Linked DNA regions of Drosophila melanogaster. The protein of the gene in region 1 interacts with the protein of each later gene in a pairwise test. Each region holds a gene or a part of one and is shown in the gene's direction. Other genes may lie near its edges.

Region 1 (8,079 bases):
GTTCGCCATTTTTTTTTCGCAACGCAATATCATCAATCATTTTGGCCCGGACATTTGCTGCTTTTGGCCTAAATTAAACAGGCAAGTCAGGATATGGGAGGGGGGAGGGAGACGGAAGTGAGGTTTGGCAAACAAACCCGGTGCACGTGCGGTCATTTTGTCGTTTATTGTTGACTTTGGTCAAACAGAAAATATATAATAAATACAATATTTGAAGATGATCACAGCCAGGCGATAGTCAGCACGTGCTGAAATATGTATGAAATAAAATATCCATCTTATATCATAATTAAGTATCTGCAAAGGTTCGCAGAAGCAGAAGCTACATGAATGTTGCGTGATGAAAATATGTAAGCAGAAAAGTAAACTTAATAGCTAATACAAAAATGCCTGTAATTGGATATTATTTGTATGTATTAAGTATGTAATTACTTTGGCATTTCTGCAACGGCCCCCATTTAGGAAATGTCAATATCTACGCTGATCCAATTAAAGTTTCTTGAAACTGTTTTTGCCCGGATTTCTTTGATAAACTTGCCAAGGTCCTGGAATCCTTGATTTGGATTTGCTGCTTGAATTTCAATTTCGTTTGTTCTCCAAGCGTAGCGAAAGCTAAATCTTTCCCAAACTTTTGATAGTTTATTAAATTATTATAAAAAAATGAGGAAAAAAATGCTCGCCAAAGCGAACAGAAACTTTTCTAATAGCAACAAAAATTTGAAACAACCAAGTCGAGTGGATGGGTAGGCTGGTTGGGTGGCTTGGCTTTGGCTTGGCTGGATACACTTTGTTAGCCAAGTTAACTCTTTGCAGGTTCTGAACGACAGTTTGTTCTGTCGCTCGCTTCACAGTTCAGAACATTCAAATTACAGAGAAGGTTGGCAAGTCAAACCAAACGGAAGCAAAAGCCAAAAGTTCTCGGGGCAACTTGAGTGCAAGTTGCTCCATAAAATGTGCCAAACATTACCAACTCAAAATACATGCCAGACTGCCTCGGAACAGATCCAAAAACTACAGTCCAAAAGTGTAACTGCCAAACGGAAACAAGACAGGGAAAAACCCAAAAAAAAGACAGAGAAATTACCAAAAAAAAACACCAAGAAAGCCATGAAAAATTCAGAGGAAAGTTGTCCAGGTGGGCGACAGGATTCAATGGGGCGAGAACTGGGCTGGGTGCCACTTCATTTGCCAGTGCGAGCGCTTCCTTTGGTCCTCGCTCAGGTGACAAAACCAGGTGCCCGGCCAAATGGATCCTGCGCGGCAACTGAATGCCTTCCGAGCACAATCGAGTTGTGGGAAAAGGAAACTATAACTGTACTGTACTCCGAGGCATAATAATCCTGTCCGTGGCTATAATTTACCCGGAAAAGCGCCTTCATACGAATGCTTTAATTCGTTAAGTCGCTCTTAATGAGAAGCCAATAGTGAAAGTATAACTTTGAAAAAATATTATAAGATGTTCTCGTTAAGTTTCAAGGTTTCTAAGAACTAAAAATCTAAATCTGTTTATAAACACTGCTCTTATAATCCCATCTCAAACTACCACAACCTAACACGAATCTAGATCTATTTTCTTTAAAGCGAAACTACCGCAAACTAAATTCGTATTTTATCGTGAAAATACCAAGCCATCCTGCTCAAAGGAAGACCAGACCCAGGGGCATATCTTTAGCTTCCGCTGGTACGAGACCCAACAACCTGACCTTCCCGATGGCAGCCCGAGCATTATAATAACACTTTCTCAAAAAGGTTCTTTATGGGGTTTCCACCCCATTCCATTCCATTCCCCATCCCCACCATTCCCTAGCCACGAACCACCACCCACCATTAAGCACAGTTAGTTAGTCGTTTCTTGTTTCTCGTTTCCCTTTCCTTGAGTCCATTGTTCCGCGGTATCTCCGCTGTTCTCGCCTCTCCCTCTCTGTCGCCCACTTCTGCGCGACGACTATGGCCAAAAGTAATCTTCCAAGGCAAATGTGAACCACAAACAAATTTATAGCTGCAATGCGGCCAGGCCGAGCATAACGGGCCCACATTTCTGTGAAATCTATGTGAGAGCAGATGTGCAGAGGGGATGGAAATGGAGAAATAGAACTCAAAAGGAAACTGTCGAGTGAGGACGACTATAAAAATATACAACAATACTGCCAAGGCAACGGGACATAATGAGCCAGGGCCAGACGGCCCGAAACGGTAAATGGTAAGCGGTAAGTCTCTAATCGGTTAACGGTAAAGCCGAGCTCAGCTGAGCGAATGTGGGCCACCAGCAGGAGAGCGAACCATTTTGGCTTTGGATTTTTGCTTTTGCCCTGCACCTCCTTTGCAGTACCGTTAGCGTTTTTCTGCGTTCGTGCTTTGCATGGCCATTTGTTACGTATACGTGTGCGCAAGACTCTCGTTCTCTCTGCAGACTTGCCTTATTTGGCTGCATACTGTAGGGCGCTCTCCCGTTACTCCTGAATTTCAAATTTCGATGCATAACTTGAGGCGCTCGCTCTCTCTTTCTGAATCTCTCTCTCTCTCTTGTTATGTCCCTTTTTACTTTACACGTTTTGCTGCACACTTTGAAAGCACATTCTCTCTTCTTGCTCTCTCTGCTTGTTTATGCGTCATTTCTTTTGGCTTTTTCTCACACATCTCTCTTTTTGCAAAGGCAACAACAAATATTATGTCTTGCTCAATTTTATTTTTCTTCCCTTTCATCTTGCCCTTCCTTTTTTTAGTTGGTTCGCATTGCAGCATTTTATTTGCTAGCTCATTTATGCAATTACTACTGCCTTTAGTTATAACATATTATATATTTATTCATTTTAAGAAAAAGTACTGACCCTTATTATATTATTACTTCGTCTAAGTAACTAAAATTTATTTAAAATTAAATTAGGTAGGATGTGCTGAGACTCCACTGTACTAGTGAATCCGATTTTTGGCAGATTGCAGCGAAGGGCTCCCAGATTACATTCACTCTGTGGCTCCCCCTTTCATGCCAGTTTCATTAGGTAGATTTTCCACCTGAGTGAGGAACATTTCACCACCACCACCAACCCCACCCACCAACATTGTTCTGCATTCACAAGTTCGTTTCATGCTCTTATGGTTTTCTTTTTTCCCAGCAAGCCCCTCTGCAGCGCATTTTCCCTCGTTTGCTTTGCTGCAGCAGCTTTCATTCATGCCACGTCAGTTGACATAATGCGACATGGCCACACACAAGCAACAAGCCACCCACCGAAGGCGAGCGCCCACCGCCCCCTAGAAAACCGCCCCACACTCTTCATTGTCGACTACTGCACTTGGCAAAAGTTTCTACCAGTCATTGCCATGAAAGTGCCATTCAAATTTACCGCCCCTCGCCACGCCCCCTTCTTCAGTTGCTCCTTGATCGAAAGGGTTTCTATTTGGTATATATTCTTTGGCTTTGCAACCAGGCAACACGGTCAACATAGCAAGCCATGTTTGTTTATCCCCAAAAACAATAACAAACTCGGCTCAGAATTCAAAAAGACCTCGACACAAGCATAGCCAGAAAATCGGAAAAACATAAATTATAGAAAAAACAAAAGAAGCATAGAAGTTAAGAATATTCAAACAAGTGAAATACGCTCAAGAACATTTAATGGAAAAAAAAGCTTCACTTTCCAGGTTGCGGCAGATTAATTGCACCTATCTGCTTTAACTTCGTGATTTCGTTAATAATAAATAGAAAATTCCTGTTGTATCCGAGAGTCGTTTAAATTAATACATTTTAAAAGAACCCGGCACACAATTATATCGCAAAAAGGAAATTTTGTAAAGTTATTAATGTCTGTGTAAACGAAAATCTTTCAATGAGGATTTTATATATGCGCCAGGATCCGTAAAGCTGCTAAGTAAAAATGGGTTAGTATAAAATGAATGTTTTAAGACAAAACCAGTCATATCCTTTTTCCTTCCAGATACCACCGCCGAACGTCAGGTGAGACTGGAAGGAGTGGAACGTGTGCTCAAGATGTCCCAGGAGCGCATCAAGATAGCGATGATCATACCGAAGCTGCTGGAGAATCCCGAGAAGTTGAAGAGCGTCCTGAAGGACACCTGCTATGAGGAGGTTCTCGAGCCCATCGATGACATGATCCGCCACCTTGGCAAGCAGAGTGGACGTTCCAAGCTGCCACATGACCACACCACCATGCGAATCGTGGACTTCTTCCTGGTCAACCATAGCATTCATCGATTCTTTCCGCACTTGAAGAAGAACCTAAACGAAAGGGATCGCCAATTGCTGGCCGCCTTTCACTTTCTCCTGGAGAGCGCCCACGTCCATCTGCACCGATCCTCGCGTAGCGAGATTACCAAGGAGCGAAAGCTCCATGCCATCTTTCATCAGAATGTGGACATCAAGAAGAAAATCAAGGAACTGAAGGCGAGCCTGGCCTTCCAGAAGGTGATTGGCAAATGGAAGACGGCCGCCAAGGGCATCTATCTGATGAAGGTCGAGGAGGATCTGGCCAATAAGAAGTGGCAGAACAACGTGGCCATTCAGAACGAAATGTAACTCGGATTTCTAGTTCTAGAAATTCTTATTTGAATATATTTACAAATTACAGTGAAAAGTGCCATCGCACGATGCGAAGCTACCACAAGAGCAGCATGGACAGGCAGAAGGAATTGGAGGAGGAGCTGCAGAATGCCCGGGAGAGCTACGAGAAGATGACCAAGAAGCATCTGGCCGAAGAGCACGAGCTGCGAAGCGAAAAGTAAGCTACAAATCGAGTAATTTATTATTTAAGTGCTCTCAATCCTTTATAGAAACAAATTGCTCCTGCAACTGCAGAGTATGCTTAAGAAGTACGATACCAGCCTGGGCGAAAAGATGCGTGAGAATTTGGTGGCGGAGGATCAGTATCTGGCTGCCAAGAAGGTCCTCGACGATTTTATGGTCCAGTACAGGCAGGAGGAGCGCATCTACAAGAACATCGTGGTCAAGCGAGAGGAGGAGGAACGTCGCGTGCAGCAGGAGAAGCTGGTCATCTTCATGATGAACCGGGCGGCGGGCAAGATTCAAAAATACTGGCGCAAGTGGAAGAAGGATCAGCGCAAGAGGAAGCGCCAGGGAAAGGGCAAGGGCAAGAAGGGAAAGTAGTGTCCCAAACCGGATCTCTGTATATTTCTACATTGTACAATTTATATGTAGAAATACGAATATATTCCAACCTTCTACTACTACTAACGTGTATATATGTATCCTGTTTTCTCATTATTTTTTAAAACTGTCACATGCTAAAAAGTTATGTTTGCTTGAGCTCATTTGTTGTTTGCAAGCTTTTGTGGCATGAAAATCACTAAGCATGCATAAGTACCCATGTATGCAAATTAATATTTCCATAAGAGAAAAGGCAAATGTTTACTCGCAATTAAATCGTGTTTACTTGGCACTTGACAACACACAGAAATTTTCTGGAATTTCTTATATATTCTAGAGTAAAGAAATGATTATTTCCTTTATTCAGCAAGGCTAACCAATTTTATTAAATATTTTTCTATTGAACTGCGATAAATTTCGCCTAAGACATTGTCAACGCGGTTTTTTCTATGGGGTCAGAGGGCGAAATGTGTGGCTTCCCTGCGATTGCGAAAATCCAAGAGAGAATGAAAACGCCTGGCAGAATGTTTACCCAACACGCACACACACACACACACACACACATACAGCGATGGAGGGAAAAGCCAAATTTTCATGTCTTGCGGGGCGAACGAAAAATGGCGCATTGCTGTCGTCGCCAAGCGACAACGACTACGACAACGACAACTACAAACGCTCTTTTGGCCCGATGTTTGCTGCATTGTTACTTCATTTTCATTCTCGTTTTCGTTACCTAGCCATCGCTATTGCCACACCATCACCCACCACCCACCGCCCAACGCCCAGCTCACACCGCACCACCAACCCTTGTGGCATGTCTAATTTTCCAGAGGTTAACATACTTAACTTGTTGGCATGCGTTGCAAATGCGCCAAGGCTGCGTTGCACCAAGCGGCGCCACATTGCGACAATTCGCTGCGGCAAAGGAAATCGTACGGCAGCTGGAAAATGGGCAAAATCGCCGTCCAATGGTGTCCAGTGGCCAACTGTCCAATGGGCAATGTGAAATCCCAGTGGAATGGTCAAACGTTCCGCATTGTAATTGCACACACACACGCATTCGCTGGTTTGCCGATTTGTGGACATTATCTTTAGCACAAATAACAAATGTATTATATGTGAATGATTCCATTTTCTAGGGATTAAGCTAATGTAAATTAAAACATCATTTTCGAGAGCTAAATAAAAATGCTGTTTTAAATATCAGGCATAGATAAGGCAACGTTGCGTATGCGTAATTTTCCATAGGCAACTATGCGTATGAGTAATTTAAAATGATTTTGGCGGATCAGGAATTTGTTTGGTATTTTTTTTTTCAATTATAGGGTTAACAATTCATTTAACTGATTGATAAATAGTTTAATTAGTATAATTACAGCCTAAAATAACTATTCATTTCTAATTCTTATTTTGGCAAGCACTAAAATTTCTTATTCATACAAAATATTTATAATATACACCACTGCATTCACTATACAAATTGAAAGTTTTGATAAGCTCGAAAAGAATTCAAGGGAGTAAATTTGTTGACTTTTTGCCGATTGAGTCATAAAATCCCAGCTAATTCATAGCACTCTTCCACAATTTTCATATTTATTCCATAAGCATTTGAAAACCTCTTATAAGCGTGGTTTTAAAAATATACATATGTTTTTATACTCACATCAGTAATTCGTTTGTAACAAAGTCTACAATTCGGCCAAATTCAAACTCTACGTGATCAGAGTCCAATTCCAAAGTCACCGCCATGGCCAAACGCGATATCCTGCCCATCTTTCCATCCCGCGCCAATTCGGTGATCATGAAGCAGCGCGTTTTGGCGGCTAGAAGGGGCGTGGGTCTCCTCAAGCGGAAGCGGGACGCCATCGATATGAAGCTACGCGAATTGCGTCGCATCCGCTTCGACCAGGACATGCACGGCGATGAGGCGATGCGCAATGCCATATTCTCGATGGCAAAGGCCAATCTTCTGGGCGCCGATTTCAAGCCGCAGATGGTAAGCCGCAGCCACGTGGCAACCGTATCGCTACGCCGCACGGAGATCAAAATTGTGGGCGTCAAGCTGAACACCCTGGAGCTGGAGACGAAGGGCGTGGGCGCTTTTCCGCTGGCTGGTCTCAGCTGTGGCGGTATGCAAGTGAGCCGAATCAGGGACTCCTATACGAAGGCACTCAAGGCACTGGTGGAGTTCGCCTCTCTGGAATACCAAGTGCGAATGCTGGAGGCAGCCTCGTTGCAGACCAACATGAGGGTCAATGCTCTGGAGCATGTGGTAATTATAATTAATTCATATGATCCATATGTTATCATGGATAATCTTCAATAAATATCACTTTGTATCCGCAAGGTAATACCCATCCTGCAAAATACCTATAACTATATATGCGGCGAGTTGGAGGAGTTCGAGCGCGAGGATTTCTATCGCCTGAAACGCTCCCAGGCGAAGCAGCTGGAGGCCAAGATGGCCTTCACCGAGCTGATCAAGACCAAGAACATGACCGACGAGGAGCTGGAGACCTACATAAAGCGAAACATAAATCAGACGCGTCCTCCAGCGGCCGACACACCCTTCGATCAGGAGCAGTTCGAGGAGCGTGAGGTGAAGCGGCGCATGCGGGAGGCCCGTCTGTCCCTAAAGCAGCGCCGCGAGCAGGAGAGAAAGGAGGCCATCAAGCGGGGCGAGCCCCCACCGCCCACATCCTTCATCACCACCCACGGAGCCTCGTTGAGTTTCGCTGGTCGCCAGCGGGATCCGCGAGCCAGCAGTGGTGATCTGTACAGCACCAAGCGGATGCTCCTCTCCTCCGGACCGGAAAGGAAGTCCGCCAGTAATGTGACCGAAAGGAAGTCCGATACTCCTCCGCGTAATAGCCAGGAAACTCAGCGCAGATCCAGCCAGATGTCGAAAGATGTCGTAAATGAAGATCCACCCGAAGAAAGTTAGTTAATCGGACTCACAA
Region 2 (6,849 bases), 4.5 Mb from region 1:
GCAGAAGCATGAGGCGACACAAAAGTATTTGACTTCGATAAGGTATATAGAGGAGTTGCAGAACATATTCGAGGAGGATCAGTACAAGTAAGATTAATCTTTTGAATCCGAGCTGTTTTCTTATCTAAAAATAATGCTGTTATAATACTCATTAACCTTTCAGGCGCTCTCTAAACCTGGAACCTGCGTCGCCCTCTGGACCCAGTTCTTCGTCCTGCAGCTCAAAAGAGTCCTTCAATGTGGAAGTAGTTACTCCGGCCCTTGGATGCCTAAATCTCTCGCCGGCCAAAACCATTGGCTCCATGCGAATGGCAAGCGGCACAAAATTTGTGCCAGGCCATCGCAAGTGTCGCAGTCTGGGCACCAAGTAAGTAAAAGGAATCCTACGTTTTGAGAGCCAACACTTGGCTTCCCTTGTTAACCACCTGTTTGAAATCCACCACCTCGAATCACTGCGCAAGAATTGGACATTTGTACACTGGGTCCTTATTAATCGTTTAAATCTCTATGTCTCTCACTTCTACCGTTTTGCTTTTGTCTTATGCTTTCGTTTTGTGTGTGTGTTCGTTAATTGTCAAACATCCGCCTCTGCCCAAAACGAATGAAGATTTCGCAGCAGCAGCCTGCCGCGAAACTTTGCCGAGAAGTGCCAATGTTGCATCGTCATGATTGCGCCGGGCATCGGCACCATCTCCAACAAGCGTTGCAGATGCCGTCGGTGAGTCCAGAACAGAGTCCTGTAGCTAGGATATGTGTGTATTGCCAGCTTGATACTGAATACTACTGATTCGATGCGTTATCCTCATTTTAACATTTGATGTGTTCAGTTATCGTCTCCTCATTTTCTTTTCTTTTGCACGGACCCGAGTTGAAAATGCTATGATATACACAAATACACGACCCAACACTTGACTCATTTCATTTGATTTTGATTTGGGAAACCATGCATTACTCACCAACCTTACGCACACAACTTCCCCGAACATATTAGAAGGTTCTATCGCATTTATTTTAAACAAGAAACCTTAGTCAATTCTATGCTGAGAATAAATCGATATAACCTACAAATACGAATCGCAGTTCACCCTTGTTTGCCTTTTTGCTATTTCATTTCTTCTCATTTGTATGAACAGCATGAATGGCTCCAACCCGCAAGAATATCTTGACTAAACCATTTTCTCCTTTTACAGCATTTTTGGCAAGATTGCAACGCACAACCACAGCGATGGACATCCTCACCACCTGCACCTGGAACTTGATCCGAGTCAAGTGCAGCCTCGTCACCACCTGCTAGATGATTCGGTCTTGGAGCACAGCGATGCCCTATCCCAAGCAGATCTAACATCGTTGGAAAGTGCAGAGGGAATTATGTGTGATTTTACCGGCAGCGATTGCGATTTGATGTCACCAGAGGCAGCAGCCGCCATGCACGGATGTGTCCGGCGTAAAACAGTTCAAAAGGAGGGAAGGAAGCCAGCGGTGGCATCTTGGCAACGATACTGGCTACAGATTTGGGCCAACTCGCTGGTGTATTTCCCACCCAAATCCTTTAAAGGAAGCGAACGCAACGACTTTAAGCGGGAACCGTGCAAAGTGTGTCCATTGGATGGATGGTATGCCCACGTGAGCGATAACACCAAGCACAAGAACACCTTCGAACTGTGCCACCGAACTCTGGGCACCGTCTATCGCTTCCGGACGGACAGTCCCCAGATGACGCATCTCTGGTCGAATGCCATTTGCAAATTGGCCACCATGCGAGTGCCCAAACCTCTGCCCACCAACCTAATGTCCTTTGAATAAGCCGGGCGCCCAAGAACACACAGAAACTCGAATATATATTGTACTCATTGTAGCCTAGTTTATCTAGTTTAGTTAGCTTTAAACCTTGAAACGTGCACAGCCAAAAAAAAAAACACCCACCCACCACATCGCTCACTCACTCCCTGAAACGAGGCAACCACAGAACATTCCCGCAACCACAACGAACGAACAAATTGCAGCTTGCATCAGATGAATCGATTTCAAAATGGTATTTCAAAAGACTGACACCGAATGAGAACACGAAGATATAGTAAAGGAGGAGCAGTACTACGAAAGTAGCCACACAATCACAACAACAACAACAACAACAGACTAAACCGTCAACGCAGGGAAATTAGAATCCCAAATTTGTAATGGCCCTGTTATAAAAGTCCAATTTTATTTGAATTTGAATGTATCGGAAACGGAATTGATAAAACGGCTTGTCATCGAATATATATTTATTTTAAGATTGTTCAGTGACCCAGAATTTAGAAATGTAGTAAAATCTGTAAATGGGATCCAATACTACTAGCTAAAAACCAGTTTATTTCCGAATTCGCTTAGCTTGGCAACAGGGCTGTCTTTTTGTTAATGTGCTGTCTTTGCTGTACTTTGTATTTGTAAAATGTTATATTAAGTAAATTACTTGGACGTTTACTCAACTTAATTTTGCGCAGACTGTGCCATATTAGTTTATAAATTTATGTGTCTACACAAACACTGTTGGCCAGCAAACGAATCCAAATTCGATTTGCCCAGCTCCTAACTTTGTAACGAAAAATCAAAAATCCAACGAACTTTCTACGCGTAACTAAGGGCTTTAATATTGTGTATCGCTACCACTATCATGATCAACATCCGTTAATCTCTATATCTGCCTTAAGTTGATGCACTAGACATAAATAGAGCTATAAAGTACATATGTACGTATCAACAACAAATGCATGCGTAAATTATAGGAAACGAAAGTAATGTTAGTGTTTCTTTTTTTCGGTTGAGAAATTGAATTGTAACACCTAAGCTTTGTCACACATACAGATTATCATTTGCAGTGTTTTACATTACATTTAAGAAAGAAATGCAACAAAAACAAAATAAACTACAAAATGAAAGAAAAGAAATGTGCGTTATATAAGGCATCTAGGGTTATTCACAACCCAATCAGATCGTGCAAAGTGCGGGAATTTGCAATTCATTTGCACAGACGCACTGAATCACAATTAGGGAGCTCGGCTTGCCGTGAAACTGGAGGCCTTTAAAACGTGAAGATTGGCTAATAGCCTCGCCAGTCGATTGCGAAACATGAAAGCGGCGAAAAGTGGCGACAGGATGGCGTATCCATGGATTAAAATGAGGCCCCTGCTGATGCTGACAGTAATATTGGTCATTTTCTTCAGCTACGGCCTGGCCGGCAAGACGACCACCATGTGAGAGGATTACGCAACTAGCCAGCCACTAGACCACTTTCACTAACTAATCCACTAATCCATCCTCCTTTCTCCCTTTCGAAAAACCCAGCGTTAGCCACACAGACACCCTCGATCCGCAGGCCGATGGCTTCTGGGTCAACAAGACGACGTGGAACGCTCGCTGGGTAAAGTACTGGCGGGCCAAGAAGATCTACGAGCCGGTGTGGAAAAAGGTCTGGACACCCACCATTCACAACGAGTGGGTGCCCTTGCCCAATGTGCCCAATGAATGGGAGGCGGAAAAGGATCGCTCCTAAAAATAGCACTGAGACTGAAACATAGGCTAAGATTATTTATGGTTTAGTTGTTTATATTTTATTTTATATTCACTGGTAATTAAAGTCTAGAGATAATTTAAAGTGGCGCCAAGGCAAATGGAAGTGGAAATGGATGGCCTTATGAGCTAGCGACTGGTTTACGACTATTTACAAGGAGCTTGGAACCGGGCGCTGTTATGCAACCGTTTAGGTGATGCAATGACCTCCTACGCGCCGGGAAACTTGAATGACTGCGAGGTGGTGGCCACCGAGGCGGCAGGTGCTGCTACGGGGGATTTAGCTGCCTCCAGAGACTTGGCCTGGAAGTCGGCGCTGGCCACTGGCTGCAGCATTGTTGGCTTGCCAGCGGCATTGGTGTCATCTCGTTTCCAGACCACCTTATCTTTGCCATCTGCCGTCCTGGTGGCCGTAACACCTGTGTCCTTGCGATCCCAATCATGGTGCTCATGATGATGATGATCGTGGTGATCGGGCGAGGGGAACCATTCTGAAATGACCACTGGCTTCCAGATCTTTTTCCATCCAGGCACCCAGATCTCCTTCCAGCCGGGCACCCAAATCTGCTTCCATGCCTCCTTCCATTCCTGAAAAGAGTTGGAATATTTAGTTCGGATTTTATTTCTGATTAGTATGATAAACATACCAATTTATCGGTCCAGATTTCCTTCTTCGCTGGCTTCCAGTACTGCTTCCATGCCTCCTTCCACTCCAATTTCTTCTCTGGCACCCAGATTTGCTTCTTGGCTGGCTTCCAGATCTTCTTCCAGTGCGATTTCCAGACCACTTTCTAAACATTCGGGATTTAAGTGTTTAAATAACATCCTTAAACTTAAAATATATTTTACAACCAACCTTCTTCCACAAATCGTGGCTGGTGTACTCCCAACCTTCGTGATCCTTGCCCAAATATTTTTCTCCGGGAATGCCAACCTTTAAATTAACATGATTCTTAGCTACATGCACTTAAAGGTAAATGTATATTCCATTATACCTTGACTAGTTCTGGTGTCCAGATCTGCTTGTAATCGGGTACTTGAATATCCTTCCAGGCTGGCACTAAAATCTCTTTCCAGTGAGGAACCTAATATACAGAGTGTATATAGTTAATTGCACTTTCATTGAGAGTTAAATTTAGAACATACCCAAATTTGTTTCCAAGCTGGAACCTGTATTTCCTTCCAGCCGGGCACTTTCACCCAATGTGGCTTCCAGATCTGTGATAGACATAATTAAAATTGTACTCAATCCCTAAATATATTGATTATTTATTTTATTATAGACTAAGCTATTTACCTTCTTCCATGAAGGATTCCAGATTTGTTTCTTAGCCGGATTCCAAATTTTCTTCCATCCCTCCTTCCAAGTGACCTTCTTCTTCCAGTACCCGGGGTCATGGTGCTCGTGATGATGTTCGTGATGTTCGATTATGTGCTCGTGATGGTGGTCGTGGATCAGGTCATCGCCCAGACCCAATCCCAGATCGATCCTCTGCTGAGCGACACTTTTGCTATCCACCTGGGAAGCTGCAGGCTGCTGATCCACCACAGCCTTGGATTGACTGCCTCCGATGGCCAAACAGAGCACACCGAGCAGACCCAACTGAAATGAGCGTGGAAGTTTATGCTTGTAGTTAATAGATACAAATCAAAAGACTGAGACAACGAACTCGGGCATGAAGAAAGCTTGTTTAAATTGAATTCGCAACGATCATGTTAATGAATTCCATATTCTCCAAAGAAAGGTGAGTGACTGAAAACCAGTTTTAAGTGGGTCAGAGTCTGGCATTGTTTTTTGGGCGACCGACAAAGAAATGTTGCATAACCCCAGATGTTTATAATTTCATACAATGCCTGACCTGGGTCAAATGAGCTAGCTGATGACAAATCATGCTGGGCCAAAGACTTTTCGGGTCTGGGCCCTCTTTATTTGGCCAATTTGTTTTATTATGTAAATGGGTTTTTGTATTATTCGGATAAATATGGAACTGTTGGATAAATGACGCAAGCCATCTCTGCATTTGGAGAATCCAACAAGGTCAGGAAACGCCCTCGTGATTTCGCAAAATTAGCCCGATTTGTGGTTACAATTTCAAAAGACCCACAACCAAAACACAATTCCAATCAATTTGCGCATAAATGTCAACGAGACCCGGCCCGATTATGAAATGGAAATTAGCGCCAGCAAAAATTATCTCATCGGATAGTGCTAATTGTAGCAGATCGATCGTGTCAGCTTCCTCACTTTGGGTGGGCAGTGAAAGCTACGCAGACTGGTTTCGCCTGCAGTTGGATCATCGGTCGTGAGGGAAAAGAGTTGGCGACTCCGCACTGCACCCCACGGATATATACTATATGTATGTATATATCTATATAGTATGCCCCCTGGTCGCTAATGAAACGATCGCGATTTTAATTGTTGACAATGTGGCTCATTTGTCGGAAGGGAATCGCCGGGCAGACATGGGGCACCTGAAGACTAATGAAAAATGCATGGATCGTGATGTTGACAAATGCAGACCGGCAGGAAGAAAGTGTTTTTCTTGCATACTTTTACATTCCCTAAACAAAAGATAAATCAAATTTATCTCAAGTTTCAGCAAAAGAAAATTATTTCCTTAAATAAATGCATATCCTCTACAGAGCAAAATAAGGTAGTATTCACTATTTAAGAGTTTAAAACAGATGTATTTATTTATACAAATTTAAATTTCGTTAGAAAATTCAAATACTTGAAATAACGCATTAATTCGACTTTAATCTCAGTTATTTGTTAGTAGAAATAACTATCTCTTCTACTAAATATCTAATTGATGATATTATCGCGCTTTTGCCTAAATTGCAAACAACGTGATTACTTAACAATTCAAAAAGATATAACCAAATTGCAAATCACCTTGCAAGCCCAAGGCTTAACAATTTCCTTAGAAAAGTGCACTGAAGCGTACATCCCTTAAATTTATTGCCACACCAACTCGGCAGCCTATGCAAACTAAGTGAAATAATTGCCAACTTTTGGCTAATTACACCATCAGTTCCACTTGTGCAGCCAGCACCCGCAACCCCAATTCCATGTTAATTTCCATTTCGCGACACTTTTTCACAATTTTTTGTCTTTTCTTTTTTTTTAGTAATTACCACAAAATGCCGATGGATCCTCATGGCTCCCGATTACAGCTGGTGAAACGCTTAAGTTAAGGCACTATCGGTATATGCACTATTTGGCGGTCTCTTTTGAATATATATATATATATGTATTGATCACTTTGAGCCACTTGGGATGGGTTGTTACCACCACTT
Region 3 (8,924 bases), on another chromosome or scaffold:
TCGGCAGTGGTGCTGATTTCGGTGGGCGAAAAGCATCTGCTGGAGAAGACCATTGATGTGCCAATGGGCGAGGAGGGAAAGTGTGAGTTTCCATCTATTTAGTTGATTTATTTTTATTTTTTTAATTTACATTGGAACATTGTTTTTCTAATTAGTTTTCAAGCTGCTCCAAAAACCCACTGGTGACTTCCGCTTGAAGATTCATGGCGCTTTTAGAGAGCTCTCCACGCTGGATGCCCCCGAAAATGAGACTTTGAGCTTTGGATTTCTGACTGTGCAGCCACAGGTGTCCACTTACATTGGCGAGAATCACAGCCAGGTGTTCCAGGTGAGTATTACATAACTACTGCACAATCGAATATAAAGTTGGCAAGATGTAAGCTTTTTTTTTTTTGGATTTTTCAGGATATACTTCCAGCGTGGCGTTTACCACTGCTCTCCGAGGAGGAACTGATGCTGCGTGCTCCGGCTGTGACCACCAATCGCACCTACCAGATGACTCAGGAGTTAGATGAAATGTTGGCTGGAAAGAACAGCGAATTTCGCTTGCATATCTATAGCGATGTGGAGGTGGATTTGGCCATTGTTCTGAACTATAATCCCTTGATAGTGAATGCCAGGACAGGGAGCATCCTGGCTGGTGTAATCCTGCTAATCTTCTATGCACTGCTTGTTTGGGAACTCTTCGAAAGAACCTTTGTGGCCATGATATGTTCCATTCTTTCGGTGACGACTCTAGCCTGTTTTAATGGTTGGTTACAGAACCCGGGTATTTCTTCATTTCTTAATTATTTGAAATTCCCCAGATCGTCCCAATATGGATGAGATTATCCAGTGGATGGACATGGAGCTACTGACTCTACTCTTCTGCATGATGCTGCTCATTTTGATACTGACTGAAACTGGCGTATTCGACTACCTGGCCGTATTTTGTTTCGAGATATCGGGTGGCAAGATCTGGCCCATGATATATAGTCTCTGTTTGGTCACCTGCCTGGTGTCCAGTGTGCTGGACAACATGACAACCGTGCTGCTCCTGACCCCAGTGGCAATCCGATTGTGCGAGGTAATGCAGTTGGATCCCCTGCCCGTGGTGATGGGCATTATAGTGCATGCCAATATCGGAGGAGCCCTGACGCCCATCGGAGATCCCATCAGTATTATAGTCAGCACCAATCACTTTATTGTGGATAATGTGGGTATAACATATAGGTTATGCAAGCTGTTATATAGATTTCCCCTACCTTTTCAGGATGTAACTTTTCCCACATTTGTGGCCCACACATTTCCAGGTGTCATTCTAGCAGTTATTCAAAGTTGTGTGTACCTGCGCCTCTTCTATCACAATATCGATGCACTGCGTCTCAATGAGCCCAAGGAGATGAGTGAGCTGCGTAGGGAGATGAAGGTGTGGCAGAGAGCCTTGAATGCAGTGGCCTCCTGTTCCAAGGATGCCCAGCTGGTGAGGGGAACGCTCCAGGCTAAGATTAAGCAACTGAAAAGGACCCTTAGAAGATTGCAAAAAGGTGTGGGCTCCACGGAGGTCTATACGAATACGCTGGACGAGCTCAAGCAGAAAGTAAGTGGATTTACTGAACTGGGATCTTTATAGCTGAGCAATCCATTTCCAGTACCCCATCAAAAACAAGACGCTGCTTTTGCAATCCGCTGGAGCCCTACTCTTCGTCATTGTTTGCTTCTTCATCCAATCCGTGCCGCACTGGAGGACATTACCCCTGGGTTGGGTGGCCCTGCTGGGTGTGATCCTGCTGCTGATCATCCTCAATCGCGATGACATGGAGCACTTGATGCACCGCATCGAGTGGACCACGCTGCTCTTCTTCGCCGCCATGTTCGTGATGATGGAATGCGTGGAGAGATTGGGAATCTTCGCCTGCATCAGTGAGCTCACCGAGCACGTTATCCTTTCGGTGGGAAAGAGTCATCGTCTGGCCATGGCCATCTTTATGATATTATGGATGTCGGCGCTGGCATCATCCATATTGGATAGTATTCCGGTGGCAGCCATAATGGTGAAGCTGGTGACCTCTCTGGTGGCCAAGCCATCGCTGGGACTGCCCCTCCAGCCACTGGTTTGGGCTCTGACCCTGGGCGCTTCGATGGGCGGAAATGGAACGCTCTATGGCGCATCAGCCAATGTCATTGCAGCCGGAATTGCCGAGCAACATGGCTATAAGTTGTCCTTCACCCGATATCTGAGAACAGTTTTTCCCATGATGCTGGGACAGATCACCCTGATGACTGTCTATCTACTGGTGGCGCATGTGGTCTTTGAATGGCATTGAGACTCCCTATTTAATACACATACTGAATAACATATTATTGTATCTAATGATGGAAAATGTTTTTCACTTCGAATCTAATCGTGTGTTTTTTTGTGTGAGTTTTACTGTAGTCTTTGTCCTTTTACATTCGCCTCTTGATGTGTTTCATGTGTTTTTGGCATATAAAATAAGAATATTTATATTTAAGCGTTCATTTGTGATTGGCAAATGTATAAAAATATACCATAAATATAAAAGTACACATGGTTTTTCGTTCGCCTTCGTGGAATTTGGCTGGACTGATGGAAATCACTTTTGGTAGTCCATCAAGGCGGTGTTTTTAATGTCGTGTGAAATGTTATAAATTTAGACTTTATTGTCTAAGGTCGAAGTGGGGAAATCGTGAAAATTCAACAGGCCATAAATACAAAACGAAGGAAAATTATAGATTTGATTTTCAAATTTCAATAAGAGGCAGTTCTACAAGTATTTAGATACATTTAAAATTCGAAGCGATGTCTGTATTTTAGAGATTTCAAAGCACAATATAAACATATAATAAGTTAAATTATAAATATCATAATTCTCGTGTTTTCTAGTTTATCCCATATGCACCTTGGTTTGGAAAACATAAACAAACGTAAATAATTCCTGAGACTGACCATTGCCAAGTTCAATGTTGACCAGAATATCCGCATATGAAAGTGCTTGCATGTACATATACATATATATTAAAAGCGAGTATATAGCATATAGTATATGGAAAGAAGACAACTGCTGGTCAATAAATGAGAATAAGACAATGTGGAAAAGCAGCGAGGGATTTCCTCGGGTGGTTGTTGCTATTTATTTGCTCTGCTACTGCTGCGCTTTCCACACTTTCCACAGCGCTCGTTCCATAGGTAAATTGTATTTTAAGTTCACAAACAAATGGCCACGAGGGATTGCGAATGGAGGAGGTGAAACGGAGGACCCGACCTGTCCGCCATGTGGAGAGGAGACTGCCAGCAGTTTTATGGCAGCCGCGAGAGGGAAAGTCGTGCCGACAACGACTGACTGAATTTTAATTAATTTGCGCCAAGGAATAAAGTGAAAATTGGAAATTGGCTTATTTGGCCCAGACTGGCCGCCCTGCAGGCCAAATAAAAATGTGATAAGCGTACGAAATTACGCCGAAATCGAGTTGGTTTTTTTTTTTGTAAGGTGAACCAAGATGACATCTCCCTATGGATACAGTAAGCCCACCTTTATGATAACGGACCACACTCGCGATCCGTATCATCTGCAGCCGGGTGATGACGACGACGATCGGGATGAGGATGAGGAGCGTCAGACGAAGCTGCAGGAGATCATCAGTTGGCTGCACTTGAATGCCAAGCATCGCAGCAAATGGTAAGTCGGCCGCATCAAGTATACGCCGCGGGTGGCCCATGCAAGTCAGCTTATATTGATATTAAGTATACGCCCGGTTGGCCACCGCCACTCGAAGTTTGAGTTGTTTATTTGCCCGGTTCCGTTTTCTCATTAGCCTGGCATTAAATTGTGCTGCAGGAGATGATGGACCCAAAACTTTTCCTTTTAATGTCCTGCTAAGCTTCTTAATAACGGTCCATTGGTTGCGACTTGTTTGTTTTCCGAGATGAAATCAACTCGAGGACATTTTGTGGATTTTAAGCCGCTGAGAGCCGCAACAGATGGTTTCCATTGAGATTGATTACAATTTATTTGTTTTTTAGTTGAAGCAGACACAGCAGTTTGTATATTTCATACTCCATATGCGTTGGAATTCCAGCAGAGTAATAAATGCGCTTTTCTTCGAAACTCTGATTGAAATGATACTCCTAATCCGAATTAATCATGTTTTTGTTTTGTTAGGGATTTTTTCCATTAGCTTGTGGTTATAACAAAATGCCAGGCACGAAGGTATTGTTGTATGCAATTTGTGTGAATAATTCGAAGAATAGTTGGCATATACCCATTTCCAATCCAAGCCAATCTTTTGTTCGAGCAATTCGCTTCTGGGAACTACCATTCGATATAGGTTGCTTATAATCGATAATGTAATACCTTGGACACGTGCAAAATAAACTGAAGTACGCAGTGCAATGTGGAGATTATAAATAAACAATGGGGAATAAATATTGACTTGCGTTGCATTATATTATTTTATTTATAGTTCTCTATTTCCGTTGGCAAATACGTGGTTCAGCAGCCTCCGCAGCTGTTTGTAGGTTTTTTTGTATTAAGTTAAGCATTCGAATTAAGTGTCGTATTCAAATTAGTGCACTCACTCCCACACAAAAATTATCGGTGTAGTGAAAACCTAGGGTAATGCGAATTACATACGCAGTTGGTCCTCAATTAAAAGTTCCGCCTTGTTAATTAACAATTAAAGGGAAAACTCGAGACGGTAAATCACTGAGTTCTCTGGTTTATAGCGCAGTTACACTTGGTTGCAATAGAGAAGGCTGCTCATAAATATACAGGGTGTGTGGAGTCGACTTACATACTTGGGAGCATTATAAAGCATTCATAAACAACGAATAATAAACAACAAAATATGTACAATAAGCAACAGAATTTCATACAGAAAATGATATATTTATATAAACTTAACGATTTTTCTTATAACTAGTTTCCGGGACACCCTGTTTCCATTTGACATATTCTTGACAATCAAACCTGAAGTGAGCTTAGCTTATTATATAAGCGCTCGTTATTTACATAATTATTGTTTATTTACTCACGCTGAGCATTTGTTGTATACATCTACGTCTTGACCATGTGTAGAATCCACTAAGTACTGTATGCATATTGGTTGCAATTAATTTGCATTTTTGCATTGGCTGATACCAAGTAATTACAGCTAACACATCGATAATTGCCGTTGGCCAATTGGCAAAGTTTATGGATACTAAAGAAAAGAGGGAAGGGTTAAATACAGTTGGGATTATGGGCTATAAGTTATTCGCACTGACAGCTAAACACTTTGATGTGGCTGCCCATTTTTACGCTGACTTTCTGACAAGCAAATGAAAAGTCATTCAGTAGTTTCAAGTCCACCCAGAACCACGTGATCCCTCCACGGAACATGCAACCCAAGTTTGGTGGTCCCACGATGACATACATATATGTATGTAGAGATATGTGTGGAAACTTGTCAATGGTTTGTTGGGTGGGTAGCTTGGTGGCATGAAGGAGGTGCGAATAACTATCCCTGTACATGAGGGTTTTCCGCTCACAATTTTCCAACAAACTGTAAATACACTTTTTCTGGTTGCCAAGGGATGAGCTTAGGGGCTGTAAAAGTTCCGGCTTGAATTTGGAATGTACTATGTGTCTCTATGGGGGCCAACCTTTGAGGCACAATTGAGTGGAAATGAATTATGTATTAGTTGTTATTATGAAATGGAATGTACTCAATAGCTTGGCTTATGTGGTATTACAGTTTTCAACCAACTATATTAATGTATTAAGAACGGAAATGTTAAGAGAAAGTAACTGCTGATAGCATTTAACCCATATAACTCCGAATCAACTGCACCCATGCCCCATATTATTCAGATGGATAAGCCGCAGAGACCTTGGGCGAAGATACAATTGTTATTGGAAGAAACACACCTATTGCGTCTCACTGTGGATATCATCAGCGTTATTATTACTATTATTGCCATCGTCTTATTGAATGTGGGTGAGGAAAATTGCGGAATAAAAGAGCATTAATATTCCAGCTTTAAAGTCGCTCAAATGTCAAACGGCTCGTGGCGAGAAATAATATATATATACACGAGTTCACTTTGAGTTCCTTGGAGTGTGTTTGCGTTTCATTGTCCGTGGCATTAGGGTTTTTGGGATTCGGATTGGGTCTCGCATTTGGATTGAGTTGGGGCACAGCAGAAGCTGTTTGCTGATAAACTCGCCTTTTGTCTGCCCATACAGAAGATACAAAAACGTACGAGAATGTGGCACACAAACCACACATGCAAATGGAACCGCGCGTGGACGTCTATATTGTCGGAATTGGAAGCTTCAGTGGGATTTATCAACTTTGGCCTATAAATAAACAAGCGGACGGCCTTAAATTTGATAAAGCTGCCTTTTTCTGCAGATTTCACTTTCGTTTCTGAGAAAGCCTCGAGAGCTTTCGGCGTGATTCTCTTAGTTACATACTCGTAAATGCTGTATCGTCTCATTTCCATGACTATTTTTGGGCTGTATGACAAGTGATTTAAATTCGCACTAATTGCTCGACCGGTTGCTCGTGGCTTCTAAGCTCTGAATAGCATTAAGTCTACCGATTAATTGAGCAGACTTAAGTTGGAGTAAACAAATGATTAGATTGTGTGAATCACATGTATTTATTGCAGATTCACCACCCATAATAACTTATTGAATACAAAATATTTTCAAGACATTAGACAGAAACAAAGGTAACCAATAGTAACCGAATATATATGTTATTATTAGACTTAAGTGACTTAAGGTTCTATAAAATAATAATTAGCTATAATTAACCACCGATACAAATTAGTTGTGCGTGAGATACTTTTAAAGCACTCTTCTCATAAAATAAACAACTAAAATTCTGCCGGTCTAAAAGACGCAAGTTCAAGTTGTTGGCCATTGGAATCCGAGCGATTCCAGCTGAAAAAAAAACCTCGAGGCATTCAACAGCTATTGAAAGCAGCCAAGTTCCATTCAATTCTCGGCGGCGCTTTCAATGCGCCGTTCAACCGAAAACAGCTGCGACTTCGGCGCCGCACGAAGTAGCAACATGAGTATCGGAATAAGTAGCTATAGCTACGCCTGCATGGCATCGGATCGGCATCGGATGGGCATCGGATGGGCATCGGAATCGGAATCGGCAGTAACCGGCTGAAATAACTAGGAACGCGGCGCCGAGTCCGCAGATTTATTCAGTTTACAACTTTCGCTCGAAACGGACGTGCGACTTTGTCCGGCAATCCGCGTTCGAGTGGCAAACAATAGCTATACAAATAAATAGTAATCAAACAAGCGAGTGCACAATAGGGGCATAAAACAACAACAAGAGAAAAAAAAAGTAATTCAAACCTAAAGTGAGCTTATCATCGAATCTAACTTCTTAAGCAAGTGAGACTTTTCTTGGAAAGTTCAGGGTTGTGGCTGCAGCAGGTCGCTAGACAATCTAAAGGAGATAAAGGCACATTTAATTATGGAAATTTTTCCTTTGTTTCACGCGTATTTCCAGTTTCTTATTACCTCGGGATAATTTTGCTCATTAGGCGGGCCCAAAAAGAAGCAATTCCTTTGCATTAAGCGTTCCTAATTAGTCTGCTTCTGACTTTCTGAATAATTGCCTAGCGTCTGGTGACCGCAATGCACATCTATATATATTTATATATATATATCTAAATTAATTGAAGGATTCCCCAGGATTCAAGTACGTTTTCTATGTGGGAATCGTTGCACTTGGTATTCACAAATTGGTGGCTAAACATTCAGCCATTCGATGGCATGTGAGCAGGTCCTTCGGACTAAATTAGCCTATCAGTTGCTGGCAAATATTTCATAATTTATGGATCGCCCCTTTTTGGGCCCAACCCAATCAATAATTGACCACTGACAGGCCACGCGAATAAGTAATATATTCCGCAGGACAAATTGATTCATCAGCATAGCATCATCGTGTGGTAAACTCAAAATATGAAAATGGAAATGAAAATGAATAGAGCTCCCCCAAAAAGTAGGCAACAACGAAATGAAGACCCATGCGTGTCAGGCTTTTATATTAGTTTTTTAAAGCTTTGCAAACTTTTCACGACACTCATTTGAAATATTCATGCCAGTCTAGATGTGACACATCGCATCCATCATTTTTGTCCCCCCACCAAAACTGGTATAGCATTTATGAGCTAGAGCTAACGAAAATGGCTTTTAGGGAAAACTCAAATGTATTTTAAGTGATTGCTCGAGGGTTTCGACAACACCAAACTTTTGTGGCGTTAATTTGCCAAAGGATTCCAGAGAGCCTTCAGCCAGGATGCGAAAAGTTTGCTAACAAAACAATGAAAAGTCTGCGTATACAGCCCTCCAGCTGATTTGCATTCGAGTTTTAGAAGAGTACTTATGTTTCACTGAAATCAATTACTAATTAGACTAATGGATGTCATAACTTTCTTTAACCAAATGACTTTAAGCAGGCTTGACCCAAATTTCGTGGAATATTTATGGGTTTCACGCCCCACTAAATAGATGGCTTATCCACCTTGTTGACACATTATGTATTAGCAAACATTTTTTGTTGTTGGCAAATATATAAAAATATATTCCGCAGCGAGGCGGCGACATATCTGTGAAAGCAATTTCCGCTCAACGCACAGGATATTTTCGGCAACATAATATATATATATATTGTTTTTTTTTTTTGCGGTGAAACATGGCACCGAAGGACTGAAGTCCTTGCCACGTGTCTGTTTTGCATTTGACCCGTAATTTTGGCCACATCCTGTCGGCCTAATCCCCCAGATGCCCTGCCATAATTTGAAATGTTTTCGGGCTGTGTTTTTTAATTATACGCCCCTTTTAAATTGTTTAATGTATGAAGGGGTATGCCGACTAATTAGCAGCAAACACCATAATTAAGTAGAACTTAATACG

Evidence for each region. Proteins that work in one complex are often made in the same cells at the same time.
Region 2: the proteins of CG13168 (region 1) and CG15919 interact in a two-hybrid assay, tested with the Drosophila melanogaster proteins (one large-scale study listed by BioGRID).
Region 3: the proteins of CG13168 (region 1) and hoe1 interact in a two-hybrid assay, tested with the Drosophila melanogaster proteins (one large-scale study listed by BioGRID).

Annotation. Positions count from the first base shown.
Region 1 is NT_033778.4:12,250,489-12,258,567, forward strand, and holds CG13168 (uncharacterized protein), read left to right. Parts: upstream 1-3,503; 5' UTR 3,504-3,872; coding exon 3,873-3,876; intron 3,877-3,932; coding exon 3,933-4,527; intron 4,528-4,583; coding exon 4,584-4,733; intron 4,734-4,785; coding exon 4,786-5,119; 3' UTR 5,120-5,213; downstream 5,214-8,079. Other genes in the region: Vha36-2 (vacuolar H[+] ATPase 36kD subunit 2), read left to right, coding at 6,867-7,391, 7,467-8,063.
Region 2 is NT_033778.4:16,789,549-16,796,397, forward strand, and holds CG15919 (uncharacterized protein), read left to right. Parts: upstream 1-3,093; 5' UTR 3,094-3,108; coding exon 3,109-3,233; intron 3,234-3,324; coding exon 3,325-3,532; 3' UTR 3,533-3,631; downstream 3,632-6,849. Other genes in the region: RalGPS (Ral GEF with PH domain and SH3 binding motif), read left to right, coding at 1-87, 164-367, 608-718, 1,191-1,803; CG15615 (uncharacterized protein), read right to left, coding at 3,760-4,137, 4,197-4,340, 4,406-4,483, 4,545-4,634, 4,696-4,767, 4,847-5,152, 6,688-6,711.
Region 3 is NT_033779.5:4,926,667-4,935,590, reverse strand, and holds the start of hoe1 (hoepel1), read left to right. Parts: upstream 1-3,206; 5' UTR 3,207-3,498; coding exon 3,499-3,677; intron 3,678-7,197; exon of another isoform or gene 7,198-7,397; intron 7,398-8,924. Other genes in the region: hoe2 (hoepel2), read left to right, coding at 1-82, 156-328, 406-751, 807-1,195, 1,253-1,579, 1,632-2,306.